7 linked regions of the Bombyx mori genome follow. The protein of the gene in region 1 interacts with the protein of each later gene in a pairwise test. Links are inferred from orthologs where the notes say so. Each region holds a gene or a part of one and is shown on either strand. Other genes may lie near its edges. The genes, in order: Ubx, catenin delta-2, nuclear cap-binding protein subunit 1, protein hairy, mothers against decapentaplegic homolog 3, insulin gene enhancer protein ISL-1 and zinc finger protein Noc.

The links.
Region 2: the proteins of Ubx (region 1) and catenin delta-2 interact in a two-hybrid assay, tested with the Drosophila melanogaster proteins (2 studies listed by BioGRID). The link is inferred for Bombyx mori from reciprocal best matches to the Drosophila melanogaster genes Ubx and p120ctn.
Region 3: the proteins of Ubx (region 1) and nuclear cap-binding protein subunit 1 interact in binary tests that used the Drosophila melanogaster proteins (3 or more experiments, as listed by UniProt). The link is inferred for Bombyx mori from reciprocal best matches to the Drosophila melanogaster genes Ubx and Cbp80.
Region 4: the proteins of Ubx (region 1) and protein hairy interact in binary tests that used the Drosophila melanogaster proteins (3 or more experiments, as listed by UniProt). The link is inferred for Bombyx mori from reciprocal best matches to the Drosophila melanogaster genes Ubx and hry.
Region 5: the proteins of Ubx (region 1) and mothers against decapentaplegic homolog 3 interact in a two-hybrid assay, tested with the Drosophila melanogaster proteins (2 studies listed by BioGRID, with this or other methods). The link is inferred for Bombyx mori from reciprocal best matches to the Drosophila melanogaster genes Ubx and Smox.
Region 6: the proteins of Ubx (region 1) and insulin gene enhancer protein ISL-1 interact in a protein complementation assay, tested with the Drosophila melanogaster proteins (2 studies listed by BioGRID). The link is inferred for Bombyx mori from reciprocal best matches to the Drosophila melanogaster genes Ubx and tup.
Region 7: the proteins of Ubx (region 1) and zinc finger protein Noc interact in a two-hybrid assay, tested with the Drosophila melanogaster proteins (2 studies listed by BioGRID, with this or other methods). The link is inferred for Bombyx mori from reciprocal best matches to the Drosophila melanogaster genes Ubx and noc.

What each region holds. Positions count from the first base shown.
Region 1 is NC_085112.1:6,103,982-6,108,239, reverse strand, and holds the start of Ubx (ultrabithorax), read left to right. Parts: upstream 1-1,458; coding exon 1,459-1,921; intron 1,922-4,258. UniProt on the Drosophila melanogaster protein: Sequence-specific transcription factor which is part of a developmental regulatory system that provides cells with specific positional identities on the anterior-posterior axis. Binds the consensus region 5'-TTAAT[GT][GA]-3'.
Region 2 is NC_085133.1:5,044,076-5,047,575, forward strand, and holds part of catenin delta-2, read right to left. Parts: intron 3,014-3,500; coding exon 2,854-3,013; intron 558-2,853; coding exon 368-557; intron 1-367.
Region 3 is NC_085127.1:11,172,431-11,174,849, forward strand, and holds part of nuclear cap-binding protein subunit 1, read left to right. Parts: intron 1-131; coding exon 132-244; intron 245-1,265; coding exon 1,266-1,454; intron 1,455-2,264; coding exon 2,265-2,378; 3' UTR 2,379-2,419. UniProt on the Drosophila melanogaster protein: Component of the cap-binding complex (CBC), which binds cotranscriptionally to the 5'-cap of pre-mRNAs and is involved in various processes such as pre-mRNA splicing and RNA-mediated gene silencing (RNAi).
Region 4 is NC_085114.1:6,571,149-6,574,375, reverse strand, and holds the end of protein hairy, read left to right. Parts: intron 1-625; coding exon 626-903; 3' UTR 904-2,727; downstream 2,728-3,227. UniProt on the Drosophila melanogaster protein: Pair-rule protein that regulates embryonic segmentation and adult bristle patterning. Transcriptional repressor of genes that require a bHLH protein for their transcription (e.g. ftz).
Region 5 is NC_085108.1:6,272,186-6,276,266, forward strand, and holds the start of mothers against decapentaplegic homolog 3, read right to left. Parts: upstream 2,801-4,081; 5' UTR 2,669-2,800; coding exon 2,466-2,668; intron 1-2,465. Other genes in the region: zinc finger protein 62 homolog, read left to right, coding at 3,996-4,081.
Region 6 is NC_085134.1:9,911,425-9,914,924, reverse strand, and holds part of insulin gene enhancer protein ISL-1, read right to left. Parts: intron 942-3,500; coding exon 752-941; intron 1-751.
Region 7 is NC_085115.1:2,640,785-2,644,730, reverse strand, and holds the start of zinc finger protein Noc, read right to left. Parts: upstream 2,801-3,946; 5' UTR 82-2,800; coding exon 1-81. UniProt on the Drosophila melanogaster protein: May negatively regulate Notch-induced cell proliferation in the eye-head primordium. Required for development of the supraesophageal ganglion and ocelli.

The sequences.
Region 1 (4,258 bases):
TGAAATAAGGTAAGTTTTAAAAAATCATAAAAAATTTAAGTATATTTAATTCATGAAACGTAAACCACCATTATCTATTAATTAAAATAAAAGTGTTAAACTTGTCATTTTACATATATCATTTTTAATAAATAAATAAAAAAACGTCTCAATACCCGGATCTAAAGGAAATATTTACATACGAAGGCGCAATAAAAATGCGTTCAATTCTTAAGGGTAGGGCGCACCATTCATTCGTTTGACGACTTCATTTGGTCGCGCGAAGTGAACTCGCGATAATGCGCTATTGTTTACCCTCCGATAGTGCGTTGTCCACTGCATGCGCTACACAGCGCGAGACCAAGACCGCTATACACTAATCAGCCCCGCTCGGATGATAACCGTTCCGCGCTCGACGCGCTGTCCCTTTCGCTCTCGAACGGGCGCCTTAAGCAAGAGAGCAATAGAAACATCACTCGTAAAAACAGGTAGTAGAAGAAATAATAATCATCTTTACGACTTCTCACTCTATTCAGCACCTTGTTACGATACTGAACGCTCATTGTGGCACGGTCGACGAGTGGCTGTAAAATCTTTTCTTTACTCGCCCGTTTCACTAATTGTACGTTTATGAGTTTACGACTTTTGCGGCTTAACTTTTTCGTTCTATTCATTTTTGAGGCTTTTGTTGAGGCTCTTCAAAAGTTTTGTTACGCGGTCGTCCGAAGATACATAAATTGTTAAAAGAAAACATATAGTTTATAATAGGATTTGATGTTATTGAGTTCTCTCTTAAGTCATATAAATGTCAGTTATTAACCTAGGTATTCTGAAGTAGAGCAGCTAAAGTTCTAGTTTGTTTGACGAACGTTCGCCACGTGCTCGAGTGGGTGTGATAAGGAAAGGAAAAGAGAGCGTAACTGATAATATTTATAGTGATTAGCGAAAAGGGGACGGAACAATAGTCGTTGGGCTGCGATGGTAGCAGTGAGCGCGGGGCGGCGCGCGTGTCTCAGCCGCGCTCAGTACATTGCGTGAGCCGCGTCGCGCCGGTCGCACACGACACACAGCCGCGCGCTCCCGCCACACGCGACGGAAAACTTCGCTCGCGACACAAGCCTCCGGCCCATACACCACCACGATCACTTCTGATTTCATACAGTGGAGACGCGCTCTCGGCTGACGTCCTGAGACGAGCCGGCGCCGCAGACGAAACCGCTTAAAAAGTCGTAAAACCCGCGGCACGCGCTCCCGAGTCGTAAAATAATCGTAAAAAGTAAACACACGTCAACTGGCCTTTATCGCCGACGAAGCCCATTATGACGCTTTAGTGACGTTTAAGAGGCAATAAAATTAATAAAAATAAATTACGTTGTCCGTATTTGGTGTGACATTGGCGGAGGTCGCGTTATCACGGCGCGCGGGGCCGCGATGACATAAGTGTTCCCTGAGTGACGTTAGTGCCTGTGACTGGTCACGATGAACTCTTACTTCGAGCAGGGTGGTTTTTACGGGGCCCATGGAGTGCACCAGGGCGGCGGTGGTGGAGACCAGTACCGCGGCTTCCCTCTGGGCCTCACGTATGCACAGCCACACGCTTTGCACCAGCCTCGTCCTCAGGATTCACCGTACGACGCGTCTGTCGCGGCGGCCTGCAAGCTCTATGCTGGAGAGCAGCAATATCCTAAAGCAGATTGTTCAAAGCCAGGCGGTGAGCAGCAGAATGGCTATGGTGGGAAAGAAGCCTGGGGCTCAGGTCTGGGAGCACTAGTGAGGCCGGCAGCATGCACTCCTGAAGCTCGATACAGTGAGTCGTCAAGTCCTGGTAGAGCGCTTCCGTGGGGCAACCAGTGTGCACTTCCGGGATCAGCAGCATCAGCCGCGCAGCCAGTGCACCAGCAGCCTACTAACCACACTTTCTACCCTTGGATGGCCATAGCAGGTTAGTAAGTTAAAAAAAATTATCTCGATCACAACTCTATATAAATTGAATATGCAATTTCGAAAAGGGCACACCTCTGAAAATGTAAAATGTTCAGGAAATGAAAAAAAACTGATTATTTTCTAAAGCAGTGTAAAATTTAAAATATTAACTTTTGAAATATATTTTAAGTGTTAATTAGCAATTGAAAATTACGGGAATTATTATAAAATGGGTGTAGGTAAGCCTCAAAACTACATGTATATGAAAAAACGTATTTGACAAAATATGCGACATGTGCCCTTTTCGAAATTGCATATTCGATTGAAGTGTATTATTGCGATCGTAGGTGCAGTTTTTTTTTTGATAAAATTAATTGCCGAAGTCTCTACCTATTAATATTGTATATTACATATTTGTTTACAAATATCACTGAAATTTATGATTCTATATTTAAAAATATATTGCGTTTCCCATAAAAAACTCGTCAACATTTAATATACATAAGTGGAAATGAGAGGCGTAACAAAAATATGTCACGTCCGATACCCCGTAAAAATCACTAAAATGCTGCCATCCTGTTTGGCACACATAATCGGGCCACTTCAGAATCGTCCATTAATGTTTCCTAAGAGTCCAATACTAACCGGCAGGTAGCCGACAAATCAAGTGTCAATAAAAAGCACATAAAACGAACGACCCTCGTTAACACCTTATTAGTGAGACAGATTTGAGTACCATTAATAATTTTATTGCGGACAAAACTCAGGATCCTCCAAATTACTAATTTGTAACGATAAATTGATATCAGTGATTTGATCATAAAATCTTTGGTGTAGACTTCCTGAATGTTGATGGTTCGTAGCAACGGAACTGGTATATAAATTATAGAGCTATGGAACTGGATTATTTGAAATAAAGTTCTCGTGTCTTAAAATTTTTTTTGGAACAAAACTAACAAGGTTTGTGAATTAAAATACGATTTAATCTTGGACTGGACTATACGGAGATTTAGCAGAACATATTATACCTACTTTTTTTACCGGACGACAAAACACTAAAATATTTCGAGAGAATGTAAAATAAAGAGACAAATATGTTGTCGATATTTACTTGTGTTCTCTTTTCTGACCCATAACAATTTAAATTAATTTTATAAATACATTAATAAAGCTAAGAAATAAAATAAAATAAAAGTTATTTATTATTAAAAGTTGTATATTTATTTTATTACTATCTAAAAATAAATAAAACGTTTAACAATCCTTCAATACTTAACACATACTTTAAGATGAAATTTTTCAGGTTCAAAATTGATTGTGTAGGCATAAAGTAAAGCAAAAAGCGCTATTTTAGTGGCCCAACGAGGCAGGAGAGGTGCGCCCGCGCCGCCCGCCCGGGTCAATGGCCCGGTCTAGTTTTGGGCGCATTATTATTAACTTACTGCCACTGACCATTCGACAAATGACCATCCCATTAAGAGCGCTTCAATCTTCAAACATACGTTTCGGTAAACATTCAATTCATGCACTTAAAAGATAAAATAACGCTTTAAAAATGTTTTACAAAATATCTAATACGGCATATTAGTTGGTATAGATTAGAATTTAAGTCTTATAAGAATCGATTCTCTCTCATTCGTAGTAGTTTTTCTGGAAAAGAAGTCCTATTCGAATTTCGATTGAATCGATTAGTTCACCTGGGCCGGCGACGAGTAATTAATGCTACGCGTGTGGTCCCGCCTCGTCATAATTCATGCGACTTGATAAAAATTAAGTAACAGGGCCTAAAAAATAACAAAATAAAATGAGAAGTCGAACCGTCGGCTATAATTCACTGTGGGTTCACGCAACACAGGCCGCGAAACAATACAAGGACGCTTGTTGGACGTGGCATGTATGAAAAGTTCGGGCTTGTCCATGAACGGTCCCTGCTGTTCATTTGGACAGTTTGCTAATTTGTAATACCTGTAAAGTAAACCTTTTTTGGTATAAATACCTAAAACATAGGTAATTTGGTATAAATTCCTATAAATATAGAAAGAAAAAAAAATTGTGGAGCTGTAAATGTAACTAATTTAGTGAAGCAAACGATAAATACGGTATAAGTTGAAGCTCGAAATTGCAATCACATGCTCCCGATCTTACTGCTATATAATTGAGGACTTAAATTACAGGGCCGTGGACTTCTTTTTTTTAAATTTGTTACAAGCGGTTTTTAAATGGAACAAAATAAAAACAAGAAAAATTATTTGGTGGAATAATTTTCATTTTCAATCATACGACAATTATTATGACCCTTCAAACAGCGACTTGAATCTTTCTCTTCTTACTTGGTGCACATTCGTTCTGTAGAGGC
Region 2 (3,500 bases), on another chromosome or scaffold:
GTAGGTGAGCTCACGGGGCTCAAACCTGACGACGTTGCTAGCACGAACCCTAGCAAGTCGTGCTTCGCAGAATCTACCACCGGATCGGAAACGCGACCCACTGAGAAGATTCGGCGAGAAACACAGTGGGCTGTGTCTGAGGGTTAATTTACTCGTCGAGCCCTTCGTCGCAAGCGACGGGTTCGACGAGAACGATGACCTGTGCTTGAGGTACCTAAAAGCGCCGTTAGTGGATCGGGAGGATCCGAAATAACGTGTTTGGGGCGACGTCAACTGCTTTCCATTCTTTCCGCAGGATCGGGAATGGATGACACATTGTTTTCTCCTGTACATCGGAAACACAGGTACAGAAATAAGCCGCCCGTACCTATAGGAGAGGTTCCGTAGCACGCAGACGCAGTTCTCGACGACCTTGGTGCCGATCGCGTTGACGTGCAGCGCCGTGCGCACCGCGTGCAGTAACGCCTCCGCCAGCCCCGCCAGGCAGCGCAGGCGGCGCCGCGCGTACTCGCCCGCACTCGACGCGTTGCGCAGCGCGCCCGACGCGTTGCGGAATACTAACAACACGCACTCGCTTAGGCTACGTTTTTTTTTGACGTGACAACGTCTTATAATTCGACGGAGCCGACTTTACAGACAACCGATTTTTTTTTATTGCTTAATTTGCGCAGGTTCCGTAATTGTGGCGCAACCTGGGGTAGATCTGTGTCTAGCACAGGACCTCTATGGATTAATGTTGAATGTACACATTTTTTTTTTAGTAGTTTACATTAAAAAGTTAGTTACAGTACCAAAAATCTTATTTGCATATTTACACCAATCCAGTGTATCCATATGATAAAATTTGTTTTTATATTTGCTAAATTTCATTCTAGATTTTTTTATTTATTGCTTTGATGGTTGAACAAGCTCACAGCCAGGTTTTAAGTGATTACTGGAGCCCATAGACATCCACAACGTAAATGCGCCACCCACATTGAGATATTCTAAGGTCTCAAGTTTCGTTACAACGGCTGCCCCACCCTTCACCGAAACGCATTACTGCTTCACGGCAGGAATAGGCAGGGCGGTGGTACCCACCCGCGCGGACTCACAAGAGGTCCTACCACCAGTAATAGTTCATATGATCGCGCGGTGGAAGCATTCACATGACAGAATATGTACGCGCGACAGTCTGGCGTCAACATTGGAGAATGGACGTGGAAAAGGGGCAATTTGCTTATGGATTTTATACAGAAAACTGAGACGTCGGAGAAGAAGACAAAGACGATACTGGGGGCAATCCTATTTTAAATGAAAAACTTTTCTTTTGTAACTTTATATCCCGACCTGGAGACTACACGAAGAATTTTTTGTAACTACTTTAAGATGTTAGTTGCATCTTTTGTTTTTTTTTATATGATTGCGTTGAAAGCTGTCGATACCGTTTTGTAGAACTGACAAGTACAAGAAAATTATGTGAACATTAAGCACTGTTTAGATTGATCTTGTACCGCGCGGAACTACGTACCGTCATATGAACTTAACCTTACTCTCACACATATTTGGCTAAAGTACAAAGAATGCTCTGAGGAATTTCTCTAGACGTTCCCCTCATCTCTTTTTTTTTCATCGCACCTCCCGCGGAGCAGAGTTCATCCATATTATTTTGAAACGCTACGTTCATTGACAGTGACTTTCCAAAGATCTTTTCTGCCACGTACCTTCCGGCTTTGGAATGAACTCCCTTCCACGGTGTTTTCCCGAGGGCTGAGACATGTTCTTTTTCAAACGAGGCTTGTGGAGAGTACTTAATGGTATGCAGTGGCTTGACTCTGCCAATGGCATTGCTGACGTCCATGAGCGACGGTATCCACTTACCATTAGGTTGGCCATATGCTCATCTGCTTACAAACGCAATTAATATAATACTTCAAACAGATATCGTAATTTATGCACGGATGTTGTTGAGGGTTTCGGTTGGAACCGGCTTCGGAACATTTGAGGCAAGTGACCCCTTTTCAAAAATGAACTGATACCTCAGACCTATATAGCTTATTGAAACAAACAACCTACCAATTTCAAAACTTTACGGTTGGCTAAGTTACTATGAATATAAGTAGAGAGACCTCTTTGGGAATCGTTACAAGATCCGACTGAGGCTTCGTCCTCATAACTCGAGGTACGGTAAAGGTATGTCGAGTAATCAAAAGTAACATTATAGTGTGAACGACGCTCCTTACAACTCGAGATGCCAGCGATAAATCGTTGTTATTAAAACCGGGTACTGAGTTATCCTAGTTGTATTTTTAATTGTATTGTAGGCAGCGGCTTGTCTCTGCCCCTGGCATTGCTGAAGTCCATGGGCGACGGTAACCACTCACCATCAGGTGGGCCGTATGCTCGTCTGCCTACAAGGGCAATAAAAAAAAAATATATATTCGTTATGAAAATAAATGTTATATCGATCTATAAGAGCGATGTTTTTATGAACTATGTCGCTTCCCTACGTGTGTGTGACATGAGGTTAAAATCTGAAAGGCACAGAAATGGAGCACAGCAAAATACGTGGAGAATTTTTCGAATACAAACATTTGTTTTTACACTCGCCCAAAACGGTAAATCTAAAGATTTATATTAGCTATTGTCGAACCCGTCGCGTGTGACGAAGGGCTTGGCGAGTACACTAACCCACAGACAGAGCCCACTGAGTTTCTCGCCGTATCTTCTCAGTGGGTCGCGTTTCCGATCCGGTGGTAGATTCTGCTCTTGCTAGAGTCAGTGTTAGCAACTTGGCCAGGTTTGAGCACCATGAGTTCACCTACTCTTTCGGCTGATATAGCGATATAAAAAAAAAAAAAGCACAAAACTTACCGGTAGACCAATAAGTATCTCCAGGGTTGGTGGGATGCCAGCCAGAATGCGGTATGATAACTTTGTTCACAATGACCTGAGCCGCGTCATCGATTATCGACTGCTTGAGGTCCTCGCACGATGACATATTCCATATAACACCGGTAACTAATTCCTTAACCTGTATCAAAACAAAAATTTATACATTTATTATATAAATCGGAATGTGGTTTTTATGGTTTATTTTTTTAACAACCACTCTATGTTTTTTTTTTTTTCAAAACATAATCATATAGATTATATTAGATAATACCTGAAGCAAAAACTTTGTACCCCTTTTTAAATTGCGCGGACTAAGGAATATAACATTTCCCACGCTCATAGATAATATAGAGAAAGAAGCATTATTATGCATAAAAAATACGTTAAATGAATAAAAAAAGCATTACACACACTACCATGTATTTGACATAAACACGCATATATACTCTTTTGTTTATTGTAAAAAATTTGTTAGTGTTTAAAGTCTGTGGTCAAAATGAGAATATTGTTTATCTTTAATATTATTTGTCCATAGTGTAGACTTGCCGAAATTTGTGATTATAAAATTAGTCAGACTATAGAATTAAAATTATAGTCTTTGACAATAGAACCTTAACAATGTTCAA
Region 3 (2,419 bases), on another chromosome or scaffold:
TCGTGTAATAAAAATCATACCCGCAAAATTATAATTTGCGTAATTACTGGTCCGCACGGGTAGGTACCACCATCCTGCCTATTTCTGCCGTGAAGCAAAAAAAAAATTACAACATCCAATTTGTTTAACAGGTGCAGAACTCCAGGAAGCCCGCGAAGCATTAGCGAGAGCGGACTCGAGCAGTTCGGATTCTGAAGATGAGAACAGTAAGAAGAAGAAAGACCAGGACAAGCCTACTGAAGAGGTATAACTTTTCTTTTTGGGATATTATGACCTAGTAACTAAGACCTTTAAGTCATATCTTATTTTAATTTATATTCTTATTTTTATGAATATTGAAAATAAGGAGTGAAATGAGATGATATGGGATGAAATATAATCTCAGTAAAATGGTGGTCATTTTGAGACTTTTTCAGTGGACCTTTTGAAGGATCCTGAGAAGTTACGTTCAGCGGCTTTGTTTCATTTTCCCACATTTTTGCACATTCACAGATATTAAACAGTTAATAAACCACCGTTATTACTCATATAAACCTGAAGAAACACTAAATAGACAAAATAAAATAAATCACACAACTTCAGTACTCGCGTTCTCGCCTTTTTTTTTGACGTGACTACGTCTTTTAATTCGATGGAGCCGGCTGTACGCACGAAAAAACATGACTCATGCGGCGTTACCTCGCTCTGAGGCGTTCCATTTAAGACTTGAAGTGCAAGCGAGAGCGCGCAACGAGCGACAAAGAGGCACAATCGGCCTCCGCGTTCGGCAGCGTTCGACATTTGTCTTTCTCCTACTTGAGTGAGCGATGCATCCGCGTGGACAGCTGCTATACAATAATACAATTCACAGCACATTCCATTCATACTTGTAAAAAAACTATGTACATTGAAAAAAAAAATTACATAATTGTATTTATGCGTACAAATAAATGTAACTTGATCAATTCAATAGTGATTTCCATTTACCTCCTTCTCTATATCCATACAAAATATCTATCAAACAAATAAAATTAAAATGTTCTTTTGAAAAATGAAACCATTCCATCAGTATTTTCTTGACGTTGTCACGTTCAACTATCGTCAGTAAACCGACTTTACAGACAACCGATTTTTTTTCCTACCTAAGCTGATAGCCTTGAGAGGCTATATCAGCGTCGCCTTAACTAGTAGGTGAGCTCACGGGGCTCAAACCTGATGAGTCGTTCTCGCCAAAAAGTCAAGAGGTATATATAACCAACGCATTGTACCAAATGTTTGTATTCCAGGCGGTCGAGCGTATGGAGGAGCGCCTGGAAGCTGCACATATGGACCAGAAGCGGCTCTTCCTGATCGTGTTCCAGCGGTTCATCATGATCCTCTCGGAGCATCTCGTCCGCTGTGATACAGACGCACGGGACCCTCACACGCACTGGTACCGCGCCACGCTGCACCGCCTCACGCAGGTCTTCCTCATCGTGAGTATACAACACACCCTTCGCCCCACCAGTAGTACCTGACCGAGGTGCTCCTGTGTCATCTCCTACCACTGTCTCCAAACTCCCTCATGCTGCTCAACCGCCCTTCAGGTGTTTTATCCGCCGTCTTCTTCTTTCTTACCTTCTAGTAGGGCGTAGGGCTCGAATAAAATTCTTCAATTTAATTTTTTTTTAAAACCTTCAGGACTACTAATCACTAATAACATAGTATACGCGTTGGGGTTCGGAATAAATAAAATTCTACCGAATTATAAATTAAAACTGTATTTAACTTAAAACGCTCACAGAACACTTTAAAATTCTCGCAATCCGCTTCTACCGCTTCGCTTCAGGTGATCCGTTCGCTGTTTCGCTTCGAGTAGATCCGATTACTGACTTGACCTCGTGCTATCTCTGCAACGTTTTTATACTCGATACGATATCCCTAGAATTATCGAGAACATTCTGGACAAGTCAAGTAGCTTCGATGTGTTTCCGCTCTCTGACAATAGATGGCGTTGTACTTCTCGATTTTTACTAGGTCCTTCGATATTCGTTTGGGGGATTACGACGAAAGGAAGATCTTCCACCGAGCGGATGATATTTGTTCGGTAGACCGATGGTCCAAATGTTGTTGTTCGGAACTTGTATATATACAAGCTTATCTTGAAAATGTCGTAAGCGAGATTCGGGCATCTGTTCGCCACATTCGTTTCTGCTATTCGTTGATAGATGGCGTTACTCTTACCGGCGTAACAATAGTTTTTGTGATTCGTGTAGCCTATACACAAAGTATTCCGTCTGTTCCAGCACCACGAGCAAGTCCAGAAGTACAGCAGCACGCTGGAGACGCTGCTGTTCACGCAGGACCTGGACCCTCACATACTGGACGTGTTCCACCAGTTCGTGGCGCTGACCGCGTGAGCGTCGCCGCGAGACGAACAACACACAACGTTAAAGACTGC
Region 4 (3,227 bases), on another chromosome or scaffold:
AAATTTTACACCTTCACTTTAAAATAGTAGTTAAACGTATCCAAGTTCAAAGCTTTTCATGCACCCAGTAATGGTACATAATAATTTCAGATTCCGCGAGTCGTAGACGTAATTAAAACAATTTTTACGGTTTTAATCTCACATTTTTTTCTGTCATACATTTTTGACGTTTTGACTTTTTTATTATTATTATTGCTTAGTTGGGTGGACGAGCTCACAGCCTACCTTGTGTTAAATGGTTACTGGAGCCCATAGACATCTACAACGTAAATGCGCCACTCACCATGAGATATAAGTTCTAAGGTCTCAAGTATAGTTTACAACGGCTGCCCCACCCTTCAAACCGAAAAGCATTACTGCTTCACGGCAGAAATAGGCAGGGTGGTGGTACCTACCCGCGCGGACTCACAAGAGGGTATTACCACCATTTTTTGCCATTTAAAAGTAGTTTTAGCCAAAGTAGTTTTAATTACACTTGCTAATAGATATTGCGGTCCTTCCTTAATGTCTTTGTATCATTGAATAATAAAACAAACCGCTACGTCACAATAAACTAAGTGTCTCTCTGTACACATTGTATGCAAATCATAATTCTAGTTATTAACAGTTAATATTTTCCCGGCAGCGGGTCCCGGTTCCGGTGTGCGTTTGCTGCCAACACGTCTCTCTAACGGCGATATAGCTTTAGTGTTGCCCGCGGGTGTGACGACTAGCGCTATAGGGGGGCTACCCAACTTAGTGCCGCTGTCACCAAGAGATGCATCGTCTTCAACATCAGAACAGAGATGCTACTCGCCCGAGAGTTCTGGTTGGGGAACACCCCCTCCTTCCTCGGAGGATGCAGCACCTTTAGCATTAGTCACGAGAAAGCAGCCAGAAGAAAAACCCTGGAGGCCGTGGTGACACCCCTATCGTTCCAAGTTTCTTTCTGTGATATTGTACGTAAGTTTTCTGTCAAGTTGATGGAGTTGAAGTTCCTATGTGCCCACAATTGGCATTATTATGAGTCTGTGCGGTCAGTTTGTGTGATAATTAGTGTTTAGAGATAATTGAAATTTTGTATTTAAAAGAAAATTCTAAGTGTCATATTTTATTTTCCTTCGTGAGACGTCTATGTTAAGGATTGAAATAAATCACTTTTACATTTCCGTTGCACTTCGTAAATAATGTAGATATGTAAAATGTAGTGTGTAGGTAGCTTTCGATAAATTTTATTTTATTTTAACAAAGAGCATGTTCATATGGATGATTAAATCGACGCGAATTGTAAACAATTACAATGAGGAATAGCAATTTCAATGCTGAAAAATAATTACAAATACATTATGAATATCAAGTTACATAAAAGATTTAAACGTCCATAGTGAATTTCATATCACTAGTTTTATAAGATGTATATTTGTTGATGACATCTGTGGCAGTATTTTACTAATGGACTTGTTGTCCTTTAAGGATCTATAACTTCGTAAATCTAGAAGATAGTGCCATAAAATCGTTTGTAAATATTTATAGCGTAGCGATAGTCCCTTTTATGTTTTATCTGTGACCATTAAGGCTCATTTACGCTGGTTGTTAAAACGATGTCGCCTGGAGCACCTTTCAAGACGACCAACACGGAATAAATGGCAGTTCGTTAAAAAGATTGAAGCCGTTTTTAACTGTCGAGATAATGAATTCAAAGCAGGCATGATGAGAATTAATTTCAAGTGCCTTAAACAGCAAAATCACTTAGTCTTCCATGAATAGGTTAAGTTATACACTAGCTGTACGTGTAAATGTAGACTTAACATAGGCAGTAAACTTTTTATCAAAATAACGTTGTTATTAATTAAATAAGACGTAAAATAATACAGATCATTTATTTAATTCGCTTGTTGTTCGTAAACTTGATTCATTTAAATGCGATTTAGAAAATATACTCTATCTTCTCTTCTCTTCATACATAAATATTTCACAAAAAAAGTCGCGTATTCGTTATATTCTCAATTTGGAAAATTATTTGTAAGTAATTTAATTGAATGACTAATTACGAAAATTTTAAAACACTGTGGATTAGTTCCATTAATATATTATAGATGTAAACTCACCTTGATTTTTAGATAGCTTTTTTTAATGCTCAATTTTAACCATCATAATTAAGCTTCGTTACCGCCAATACTAAGACACGTGTCTTCCTTTATTTCATAGTTACCGTTAACGGACAGTGAATTGTTGAAAAAATTATATTATTATAGTTTAATTTACCACGTAAAGATATATTTAACATTTGCAAATTTAGTAGTAGGTCAACCGTGATAGGAAAGACATGTATGATGTGCAATCTCAAATCGAAAATATTATAAACTATTTTGAATTTAAACCGAATTTTGATGAAGATTATGTATGTATTAAGAGTTTATGGCAGTTAAATTACATATAGTTTTCATAAATTTTAACTAATTGTAATCGAGAAATTGAATCTTCATCAAATTGCCCTACTTATGTCGAGAGAAACAATTAATCCTAATGGCATTAATTCTCATAGTATTGTAAAGTCACAAATTTATTTAAGGTATAATATTAGTTTATTTTATAAGAGAGAATGCCGTCTAACATTTAATTTATCATACATTTTAAATTTACGAAGTGATATTATTTAAATGTAAATAAAGTAATCATAATGTATGTTATGATAGCTCTTAAAAGATATGTCATCATTTTAAAAATAAACAATATCTAAATGATCAAGGTTGTAGTTTTATTTATTTTAGAAGCCAGTCGAGGATTCTACACGTAGATAAATAATCAATGAATTATTAAAATAGCGTCTTGTTAGATTAAGATTAGCCTAACCCTGGATGGATGGATAGGAGCTGAGCCGACGACGAGGTGCCACCATTGTGGATACGACCTGCACACAGTGGAGCATACGCAAGCTATCTGCCCCGCTTGGGAGGTGCAGCGTCGTGTCCTGGTCGCAAAGTTAGGACCGGACTTGTAGCTGCCTGGCATCGTGGCATTGATGCTTGGCGGCGACGAGCCCTGGAGGTCTATGCGCGACTTCTGCGAGTGTACCATGTCGCGGAAGGAGGCGACGGGACGAGTGAGGCAAAGCTCTCTTCACTTCGCAGAAACCCGCTGCCGCCGAGCAGGGGGTTAGGACTAGGGTCCCATCCGTGACCCGGCCCTTAAGAGTTTCGGGCTCCACCCGCTTTGTGCGGGGACCCAGGCGTTTGCCGCGTGATAGG
Region 5 (4,081 bases), on another chromosome or scaffold:
TAAGGCAAGGATGTATATTTATATTTAAATTTATATTTATTGTATTTATATGCTAATTTAATAGACATGTATTGTAGAGTAAATCTTTTCCTATTTATTAATCAGCCATTGCATCTATCTATAATCTATACTAATATATAAATCTACAGTGGCTTTTAGGGATGTTCCGTTATAATTACTGAACCGTGCATCCAATTGACTTGAAACTTCGTATATGTAGAAAATACCTGTACTTGATGGATAGGATAATATTTATTTGAGTGTTGGACTCCCTAATGTCAATCGTAATTCGTTTCCAAATGAATCTTGTCCACCTAATGGTTGTCTGGAAGAGATCGCTCTTAGCAATAAGACCGCCAATTGTACTTTTTTGTATTTAATGTATCGCAGTGTTTATTTGTTTTTTGCTGTACAAGAAAGAATACTCTCCCTTTCTTTCTCTCAATTTTAAATGCCCAGCGAAGCCGGCGAGTACGGCTAGTTATATATATATTTCTGTTAGACGCCATTAAACGGTACACAACTTCATCATTAAGTCCTTTAATGTATGTTAATGTGCATGATTTAATACATAAAAAAACAGACATATGAATGCACAGCTTACAAACAAACAAACAACATTTTCTTTTCAAGTACCGTAGAAAGGAAAATTTGATTACCATCCACTTGGTGGCTTTCCAAAAACAGTCCAAACAGTGTAGTACAAATATCCAATTTATGAAATACTTGCTTCCAAGCAAGCGAGAGCATATGGCACAACTGACTTACATAAACATTATCAAACAATATGTTGAAATTGGAATCATATTAGTTTTAGAATAATGGTCATAACATGCTTGCTAATTTGTTGCGGCAGTTCTTTTCAGGACTGTGGTTCTTCTTGTAACCAGTAAACCAGCTAGAGTTTATTTTGACTTTCAGTAAGAATGTTCCCTGACATGAATTAGAGAAGCTCATAATTATACATAAAAGGAAAGCGCCCTGTGGGCAGAACACCAGCTAGATGTTCAGATCTTGTTAATAAATTGGCTAGTGGTAGTCTATACCATGTGGTCCATGCCACCCATGACCAAGGAAGAGGAGGAAAGTCACATTTGGTCACAATCCTCAGCAGTGAGGGAATTTTGCATAGAGAAACCACAAAATAGTAATTACTTACATAGGAGATTCGCAAACATTTGGGGGATACAGACAGACATGAACAAATTATAAATGCTACATTTTTATTACTGTGCTGCGGAATCATTAACATGGAATTTTTTTGTTCAGTTTCCAATGGTAGCTTAGAGCTATACGCACGATTACTCATAATTGTTGACAGTAAAAAAAGATAGACCATGAGCCCAATAACCTATTGAAATAATTAAATCCAATAAGTTAGTTAGGCAATTAATTCACAGTGGTGTATTTATTGTTTAAATGGCATTGGATAACAATGACTTATGAATATGTATTTTATTATCTTGTAATCAATTTCCTTGATTGTTTAGGAAATAGGTGCCACTTTGCATATTATTATTTCCAAAAAAAATACTTCTAAAGACTTTAATTTCTAATTCTAACTTCTTGGTCTTGGAAACCAATATACACTGCGAAATTCCAGTGCAATGACATCTCAAGTCAAATACATGTGATAGTCAATGGCTTTTTTTGCTTTTCAATTTTTACAATGTAGTTAAATTGTAACAATGACGAGTAGATTCCTATTCTAATTCAAATTAAATGAAAAACTGGTGTATGATACGTATTTATTGCCGAAAGCCGTATTTTTTGCATAAATTAACGAACAACAAGAACTCTTACCTTGTTTAATTATGACAATTTTTTTCGTATAACCACTTCACTTTGTTACTCAAAATCACTCGCGAAATTTTGCGAAACACGTCCGGTTTCTTATGACAAACAATAGAACGATTAATGCCTTTGTATTTTTTTTAAAGGACAGGAAATGAAAAATTCGCTACATCAAAATACGGCAGCCATATTGACAAAAGATTCGATTGTTTTGACGGTGTCTTGACCTTTTCGATTTTGCGTCCTGTACTTTGTTATCCTACTAAAAGCGAGATGACGCCATTTTCGCGAAACATGCTTTTAATAATTATAATCGGATTTGGTCGGATTATACGACGAATATATTCAACTTCGAATTTCCGAACGTGAATTTCAATGCCGGAAAAAATCAGCTGATTTTTAGCTTGCGAATAAATTTGTTTCAAGTTAGATTTTTGAGAATTTTTGCAATTTTGCATTATATAAATTTCTTAAAACTAGACTACTTCCTCACCTTTAAATTTAAATTACTGCGTTTATCGGCATCAAAGTTGCGAGCAGTTCAAACAAAGGAGACTAGATCTTATTTCAGGAAGTTAAAAATCTCAATGTTCAAGACTCCCAAGACATTTGGCCGGAAATGTCATCGTACTAGAACAATTGTACAATAAACAGAATTTACTACGACTCACCTGGGTATCGTAACGCATTTCGTATGACTGTTCTGACTCGAGATTGCCCTTTCTAACTCTTCTAAAGCCCCGCTTTTCTTTAATTTTTTTACCAAACTCTTTACGGCCTTCTCGGACCATTTATCTTCTGCGGCCGACGATCCCTCGGGTCCTTTTTTCCAGCCCAACAATCGCTTCACGACCGGCGGAGTTAACGGGAACATACCGTACACTTTGTTAGCTATGTCATTAAGTTCAGAAAAGTAGTATTCGACAAAAAATATCTTTATTGTCGCACAATGTTATTATATAGGTTCCATATTTAGATGCAATCGGCCATTTTGACGATTTTTGACATTGACACATGAAAGGCAGTCATAGATGTATTGACAAATTTTTCTGTCAATTTACAAGTTCAAAAACCTTTTGCTTGCTGAATCGATTTAAGAATCGTCTAAAGAGTGAATGCTTTACTGCATAATGAGAATTTCTAATATTATCTGTTGAATTCTTGAAATGTCGTAGATTTCAAAAAAATGGAGGAAGTTTTAAATTTCAATTGTTTTTCGTTGTCATTGTGCCAGTTATTCGCGAAGAAACGTTTTATATTGAAGAAATAAATAAAACTGGTTAGTTTTTTTTTCCTTTTTCAGTAAACTCATTTGTAGTTAACTCATATTATATTTTTGGTTTTGATCTACATTACGGAAATAAATTTCTCGACTGTTTTCCTTGCCATTGACACTGGCTGTTGCAAAATTTTAATTCTTTTATAGTCAGCCATTTATTTGTAGTTAAGGAAAGTATCGGAAACAGTCATAAATTTCAAATAGTTAAATTACCAATTATTTTGACAAACAATAATAATGATTCATTATTAACCTATTTATTGACTTTCATTATTTGTAGGCGGGATTGTGTGTTTTATTCAAAATTACAACTAACAATCTATACATTCTTTAGTATGTAAGATATAGTTCTATGATCAAAATTTTACATAGCACAGAGAAAAGCGTACTTTGTATAAATAAATTATCATTTGCAACGTTTCGCACTCGTGGCCATGACTGCTTCAAATGTAAGAGTTCAATGACCTCGAAAACGCAAAACTTTTTAAATTTACTAGTTATAATGGTGCTTAAGGATTGCATGTAGATACACCGCCTAACATAAATAAATATATTGAAATTTAATTTAATTGGCCTTTACTGGTGGAATAGCAAACGATTTAAGCATAGACGTCGCCAATCCCAGCAAAAATGTTAAAATGGACGTAACAGCAGTCTAAATTCGAATGTGCTATGGAAATTGGATATTTTTGCGGTACGTGCTGTCACGTATCTCCTAATAGTGCGAATGTATCAGTAGCGCGCATTGTACCGGTCAGTATTTTCAGCTAAAAAAAATATAATGACGTGATCTGTTGTTGACACGTTAAACATTTTCAAGAATAATGAGTATAAAGAATCCGTGATATATTAATTTGTACTGAATGAGTAGACGAGATCACGAGCCCGCTGATGTTAATTGTTCACTGTAGCTCGTAGAGATATGAGGTCGAGCCTCAATTTATTGCAGAAATACCTCCTCCTACCTTTTAAATTGCGGCAGAAGTATTATGTTGGTATCGGTACGGT
Region 6 (3,500 bases), on another chromosome or scaffold:
TTTGATTGACATTCGGTTATGATTTTTTTTTTATTTCGTTTCGTGCAATGAATGTTTTAGCTTGTAAGTTCTAAAATAGTTCTATTAGTAATTTTGTTTTAAACACGATCTACTTAAATAGATTTCGATCGTTTATTAGTTAATGTTTTATAGACATTGTAAGAGTTATTTTTGGAATGTTTAAGTGCGTACCTCCATTAAAATCTAGAGTAATAAAAATTAAGTGAAGCTAGAATAGTTTAGGTGATAAAACTGTTTGTTCGTTGTAGATCATCGTAAGTATTTTGTAATTTAAACTTTCATTATTCTTTCTAAAATATAAACAGGGTTCAATTTTCCGAGGCTTAAGAAGTCTGTTTCATTGTCGGACCACGTATTTGAATGTAGGAACTATCAAAATACCTACTACTGAAAAAATTGTCGATCATTGCTAGTGTAAGAAGGGTTGGTTTATCCTAAGCATTTACATTTACAATACTATACATAATTTAAAATAATCATAATATCATAATAATGTTATTGTCATGTAGTAGTATATTAATATAAAATTTAATTTTAACTTTGGCGATAGTGTACAGACTCCTTTCAGAGTTAGCGGCTAAGAGTAGACAACTATGTAGTAACTAGGTAATATATCTAGTATTTTTATTAATCAAAGCTTTTTGTCGAACGTGATTAATCCGGTGATAAATCGCAATTGGTATTCTGTATTCTGACGGAAATTGACCTAACAGCTTAATAAGTCACTTACCTAGTATAATCTCTTTTGCAATAAGTCTTTCCGTCTCTAACGAAGCACGTGCAGGATTCGTCGAGGAACTGCCGGCATTCCTGACACTTTAGGCAGGCCGCGTGCCACTCCAAGTCAGGGGCCACCCGGAGGATGTACTGGTCGTGGATCTGACCTCCGCAGCCGACGCACAACGAGAGCCGGAGCTTTTCTGTAGACGAAAACCTCGATTAGTGGTTTGCGTGACCTTCAATCCAAGTAAAGTGGTATGATTCTTCATGGGAAGTAGAAGACAAAGCCAGTTCCCGTGTAGAGGGAGAGGAACGATCTATCTAAATCTAGATAGAGAAGGTAACACATGCGATGAGTGGACGAGCTAAATATTATTTATATATTTTTTTCTACCTAAGCTGATGATGGTCTTGAGAGACCATTTCTCCGTAACCTTAACATGTAAGAGAGCTCATGGGGCTCAAACCTGACGACGTTGCTAACACTAACCCTAATAAAAGCAGTGTTTCGTAGAATCTACCACCGGATCGGAAACGCGACCCACTGAAAAGATCCGGCGAGAAACTCAGTGGCTCTATGGGTTAATTTACTCGTCGAGCCCTTCGTCGTTAGCGACAGGTTCGGCGAGGACGGTAACCGGTGCTTGAGGTACCTAAAAGCACCGTTAGTGGATATCGGGAGGATCCGAAATGACGTGTCAGCTACGAGCTAAAGATATCAGAAGCTAAATATCAAAACTATGAGACATGAAGTCGGAGTTCTATTTCCGTCTTTAAAACCAGAATTATTTACATATGTAAAGAAAAACCTTTATCGTTTAAAACCTTTAAAACTCTTTAGTTTTAAAAAAGATTTTTCATAGACGGAATCACTCATCTGTCTGTCATTCAGTGAAAACAAAATTTAGTTTTCTATAGTTTAATAATACTGTTTAATGTTTTACATTATTTTTAAAAGTGATTAAGGGCTTTAAATGTTGTTTTCTTATTATATCACAGACAACCCAATTAAGCCTTTTATTGTTTAATAATTCTAAAGTATTCCATATCATTATATTACACATATATTATATATAATATAACTATAAACATATATGAGATCGTCAGCGCAAAAGTGACCTAAGCTTACCATAGTTAGTATGGAGGCAATTAGGTTTGAATTTTCATGAATTTGAATTTGAGTAAGCAAAAAAACAATACGCCCAAAAATAATGTTTACAAAGCTATCTGCTATCTATGGGTGAAACTATGGATAAGTCGGATTTGTATAAAAAATTTTGATATTTTAAATAAATTCGAATATACGTCATAATATAAGCTTGAATATAAAAAAATATTGTGGGCTAGGCCACTTTTGCGCTGATGGCCTCATATATGGGTAAGTTTTCGGCAGTCATAGGCAGCACGATCATACCCTTACGAGTTTAAAATATACCAACATTGGTTATTACGCAAAATTAGAAGTGCTCTTCAAGTTTCATTGAATTACATTGAGGTGTAGCGAGCTTCCACTACCCGGGTGACGTGGGAAGGGAAGGAAGGGTGGGAAGGGAGTGGCTAACATTACAAAACTTGAGGCCGTAGCGTTGAGGGCTTTTTGATTTTAAACTGGTAAAGCTCAGCCATGTTTGCTGAAACTACACACACGCCACCTGTCGTACATTAAATATACTATAACAGAGACTGCCAAACAATCGCCAACTAATCTTTATAACAATCTAATGGCTTAGAAACATATAGGAGAGAAAAACATTCAGTTTTATTTACATAGATTTATTAGGGGCTGCGACCTATTACTGAATATTTCCTTCCTAAATTCATCCGTAGTACTTGTTGGAAGGTACATGTTATCCTAGCTCAGCCCATTTGACTGGTGATTGTGTGACATTTGACCATTTAAAAAATGTGATTTTAAAACATGAGGTATCATCACAGTAGCTTTTTTTTATTGCTTAGATGGTGGACGAGCTCACAGCCCTCCTGGTGTAAGTGGTTACTGTAGCCCATAGACATCCATAACGTAAATGCGCCACCCACCTTGAGATATAAGTTCTAAGGTCTCAATTATAGTTACAACGGCTGCCCCACCCTTCAAACCGAAACGCATTACTGCTTCACGGCAGAAATAGGCAGGGTGGTGGTACCTACCCGTGCGGACTCACAAGAGGTCCTACCACCAGTAATAACGTACGTATTTCATTAGAAAAATTGGTACTCGCCTGGGATTCGAACACCGTTGCATCGCTCAACACGAATGCACCGGACGTCTTATCCGTTAGGCCACGACGACTTCTATTATCTAGTCATTGGACATTTGACAAAAAGGTTTCACGGCAGATATAGGCAAGTGGATAATGCTAATTTTTGCTGGAGCTAAATTAGATTGGTCCAGGTGAGAAGCAATCAATCTTGCAGAACCGTTAATATAAACATAAGTATCTTTTTGTTTTTTTTTTTTCAAAAATCATTTACGAGAACTTCAGTGATACAGCCGTCGCGAAACGTGCTGAGTCACATCACGAAACATGAATTATGAATAAATTAATGTTGTCGGATCGGGCTCAATCGATATCGTCTGTAGGCGTGGTCGAGGTCCCGCCCAGTCTGGTGCTCACGGAAATACGGTGGCCTCTTTCACTCGTTACGTCTCTTTTACGCTTGAAAAATATATTACGGGCAATGAAAATAGTTGAAAATTATTGTTATGCTATTTTTTTTTGTACCAGTTATTTATTTGACCGACTTTCGAATTTACATAG
Region 7 (3,946 bases), on another chromosome or scaffold:
CGGAAGCGGTGCTAAATAATCTGGTTGTAAGTACTGGTTGGGATTTGTAGCCATCATTCCACCGTCTTCAAGCACCACCATTTGGAGATAACTTTTACTATCACTTTTGAACTTCACGATACAATCACGTAAGGGAGTTTAATTTAGTGTACACTTTGCAAACGGAGCGCAGACTGAGCAAGTAAGACACATGTGCACGCGGCGACGTTCGAAGCGACTGTGAGCGACTGGACCCCACCAAAGCTCGACTCGCCTCCGTACCCCGCGCCCTCGTCGCGACAGATAGAGACAGCAATACGCCGAACCTCCGCCAGACAGAGAGCGCTATGTCTCACCGCTGCAGCGCGCGATCGTAAAAAATAAAGCGGAAACGACACATAGCTGCATTGCGGTAGGGGAAAAAGGAAAGGCGGTATGTTCAGCAGTCGGGTGCGGATTGAGACGTGCGATGGCGTTGGTGGCTCGCCACCCATGACGGGCAGCGCTTTGAGTCGCCGCTGCGAGCGTGACTGCCGCTCTACCTGGCCGAGAGTCGCGTACCACGCTGCTTTTTGTTACGTGGCACTTTTATTACGTCCCCGACGACTCGCAGCGTCTCTCTTTGAGCTCCGTAGCACTTTGCTGACACGTTCGATACTACTTACGTTTTTACGAGCTTTCTTTGTTCCGAGATGCACCCGGCGTCGGTTCAAAGGGGCCAAATTGATCCGTTCCCGGGAAAACGTGTTTCCGTGAAACCGTTTGATGTGTCAACAAGTCCGTTAGACGTTTACGTTGAAACTCGTTAAGCTATCGATAAACATTTGTTTGACGATATTTCACTTTATCGACAGCGTTAAGTCCATAACGTTAATGTTAATCCGACACTAAAACCTGTCAAACACGGGTTCGGTCCGTCGGACCCTCCGTAGCGATCAAATTAAATATGTCAATTTGGGAACCCATATCAACAGCTGCGAGCGACGGCGGCGGGGCCCTTTAGAAATATTGCTTATTGTGTCCAAACAAAGATACTAAGTATAACGTATGGGCGGACGACAGAGGTTGTAAATAACCCGGCGGGTTGTAATATATTTGACAGTGCGCGGACACACGAAACAAAAAACATGTTTATTGCGAGATGGGGTCTGGTTCGGCCCCGGCGGCGGCCCGGCTCTCTTCTATAAATTAGCTCCGCGAGCATTTTAGTGTTTGTTTAAGGCTACGGAGGCGCCGATGGCCCTCGCCCGTACTGAATAACGTGTTTCGTGCTATTGGAATATAAAACAACGTATTACGTTACGATTCGTCTCAAAATTACAAAAGCTTTAACTGAAACATGCGATTTTAAAAACAAATCTCTTGTCTTGATAAATTCTGTTGATGCTCGCTGAGCCGTAATTGCAAACTCAATCGCGATAACACGGTTCATTAAATCGTATTGTATGTTTTCAAGGAGAATTTAACGCGTCGTCAATTTTAACAGACTTCTACACGATTTTCTAATTCTCTCATAGGGCCTAACTAATTTACAAATAAACTGTGGACCTTATTGTAGATTGTATCCGAAAATATTGAAGCTTTAATTCTGTCCTGCTGATTCATTTTTTGTTTGATAAATCGAGCATCACTCATGTTTTGTGCTGGCATAGATTCTTAGCAACTTAACCTACCTTAAGCAACTACTACTACTCTTGACCGCAAATAGAGAAGTAGTTATTTAAATCAGTATAGAACAAAATGAATCTTCACTAACTTACCACTTTTACAAATGAGATTTCGACCTCATTACTCAAGGTGGGTGGCGGCATTTAAGTTGAGTTTGTCAATGGGCTATGTTAACCACTTATTGGCAGGAGGGCCGTTAGCTCGTTCACCCAAAAATGCACAAAATTTGAAAAGATGCCTTTAAATTTGACTTCAGCAAGAGAAAAAGCCTTATTACGATATATCATGTTAATGGTGATCCTGGATGATAATGGAGCTAGCTTTGGCCGTGTGGCTTATGTAGTCCGGGATCTATTCCCAGTAGTTGTGCCAGTCTCAGTTTCATAAACCAGGACCTAACACTAGTTTGGACCCGTCGTAAGTTTAGCTTCCAAAAGGTATAAACCTTTTAAAATTTAGGAAGCGAAGCCTATTTCTCTGTTCGCAGATAAGCCATGCAAGGACCCCTCAGGTTCGCTAAGATAACGCGTTATTGTTTGAAGCGGATGCGGCGAGATCAAAGCGCTCGCACAAAGCGTTGCCGCCGATACCAAATTACTGTTTACAAACGCTGTAAAAAGCTTGACGGGGCCCATGCCTTGCTTTGATCTGCTCTGTTACGGTTACGTTAATGACTCATCGATAGTTTGAAGGGTAGAATAGTTGGGCTTAGATAGACTTGGCGCCTTCGAAGGGATTCATAATTCGTATATTTTAGATTCAGTAAACGGATTTCCAGTCATAGCTTGTTGAAATATGACCACATATTGAATATATTTAATACTTCCAATGAGAAACAGTCAACTTTTTTTCTCCTACCTATGCTGATAGCCTTGAGAGGCTATTTCAGCTTCTCCTTGACGTGTAGGTGAGCTCACGGGGCTCAACCTGGAGTGTTGTTAACACTAGCCCTAGCAAGAGCAGTGGTTCGCAGAATCGACCACCGGATCGGAAACGCGACCCACTGAGAAGATCCGACGAGAAACTCAGTAGGCTAACAGTCAGTGTTCAGTTCAAATAGTACGACAGCCCTTATAAAATACAATTGGCATTGAATAAAAGGAATATGATTTAAATGTTTTAATACAATTGACATTGAATAAAAGGAATTTGATTTAAATGTATTTTTTTTAATAGACCAATTGAAGAAAATAATTTCAAATATGTTTTAAATATCTACTTTATTTATTATTTATTATTTATTAATTAATTGAAATAGTTATCCCTTTTTAAGGACGACATAATTAGTAGCATAAAGAAAGTTAAGCTATTACCTCAATAAAATTAATCTGCGACATTGTACTCACTCCTTTCATTTTTTCATCCATTTTTGTTAGTCATGATTATCTACGCTTTGAGTTAAAATTATAAAAGTATTTTGAGGGTATGAATAATATCATTACAAAAATGTTTTTTTAAGGGATTTTATTACCTGATAACTTAGACCTTTATTTGGGTCATGCCTTATTTTAATTTATATTCTTATTTTACTAAAAAATGATAATTTGGAGTGAAATGAAATAAAATGAACTGAAATGAAATGAAGATGATTAAGTTGAAACATTAATCAATTGGGATGAAATTAAATGAAATGAGATGATATGGGATGAAATATAATCTCAGTAAAATGGTGGTCATTTACTACGATTTTTTCAGTGAACTTTTTGGGAGGATCCCGAGAAGTTACGTCCAGCGGCTTTTTTCTCGTTTGCCCACATTTGTGCACTTTCACAGATATTAAACAGTTAATAAACCATGGTTATTACACATTTAAACCTGAAGAAACACTAAATAGACAAAATAAAACAATTCACACAACTTCACTCCTCGCGTTCCCGCCAAAAAGTCCTTACTAAAATATATATATTTTTTTAAGAGATTTTATGACCTGGTAACTAAGACCTTTAAGTTATGTCTTATTTTACTTTATATTCTTAATTTTATGAAAAATTATAATATGGAGTGAAATGAAATGAAGATGATTAATTTGAGACATTAATCAACTGGGATGAAATTTAATGAAATGAAATGATATGGGATGAAATATAATCGCAGTAAAATGGTGGTCATTTACTGAGATTTTTTCAGTGGACTTTTTGGAGGAACCCGAGAAGTTACGTCCAGCAGCTTTGTTTCATTTTCCCACATTTGTGCACTTTCACAGATATTAAACAGTTAATAAACCACCATTATTACACAATTAAACCTGAAGAAACACTAAATAGACAAAATAAAACAAATCACACAACTTCACTCCTCG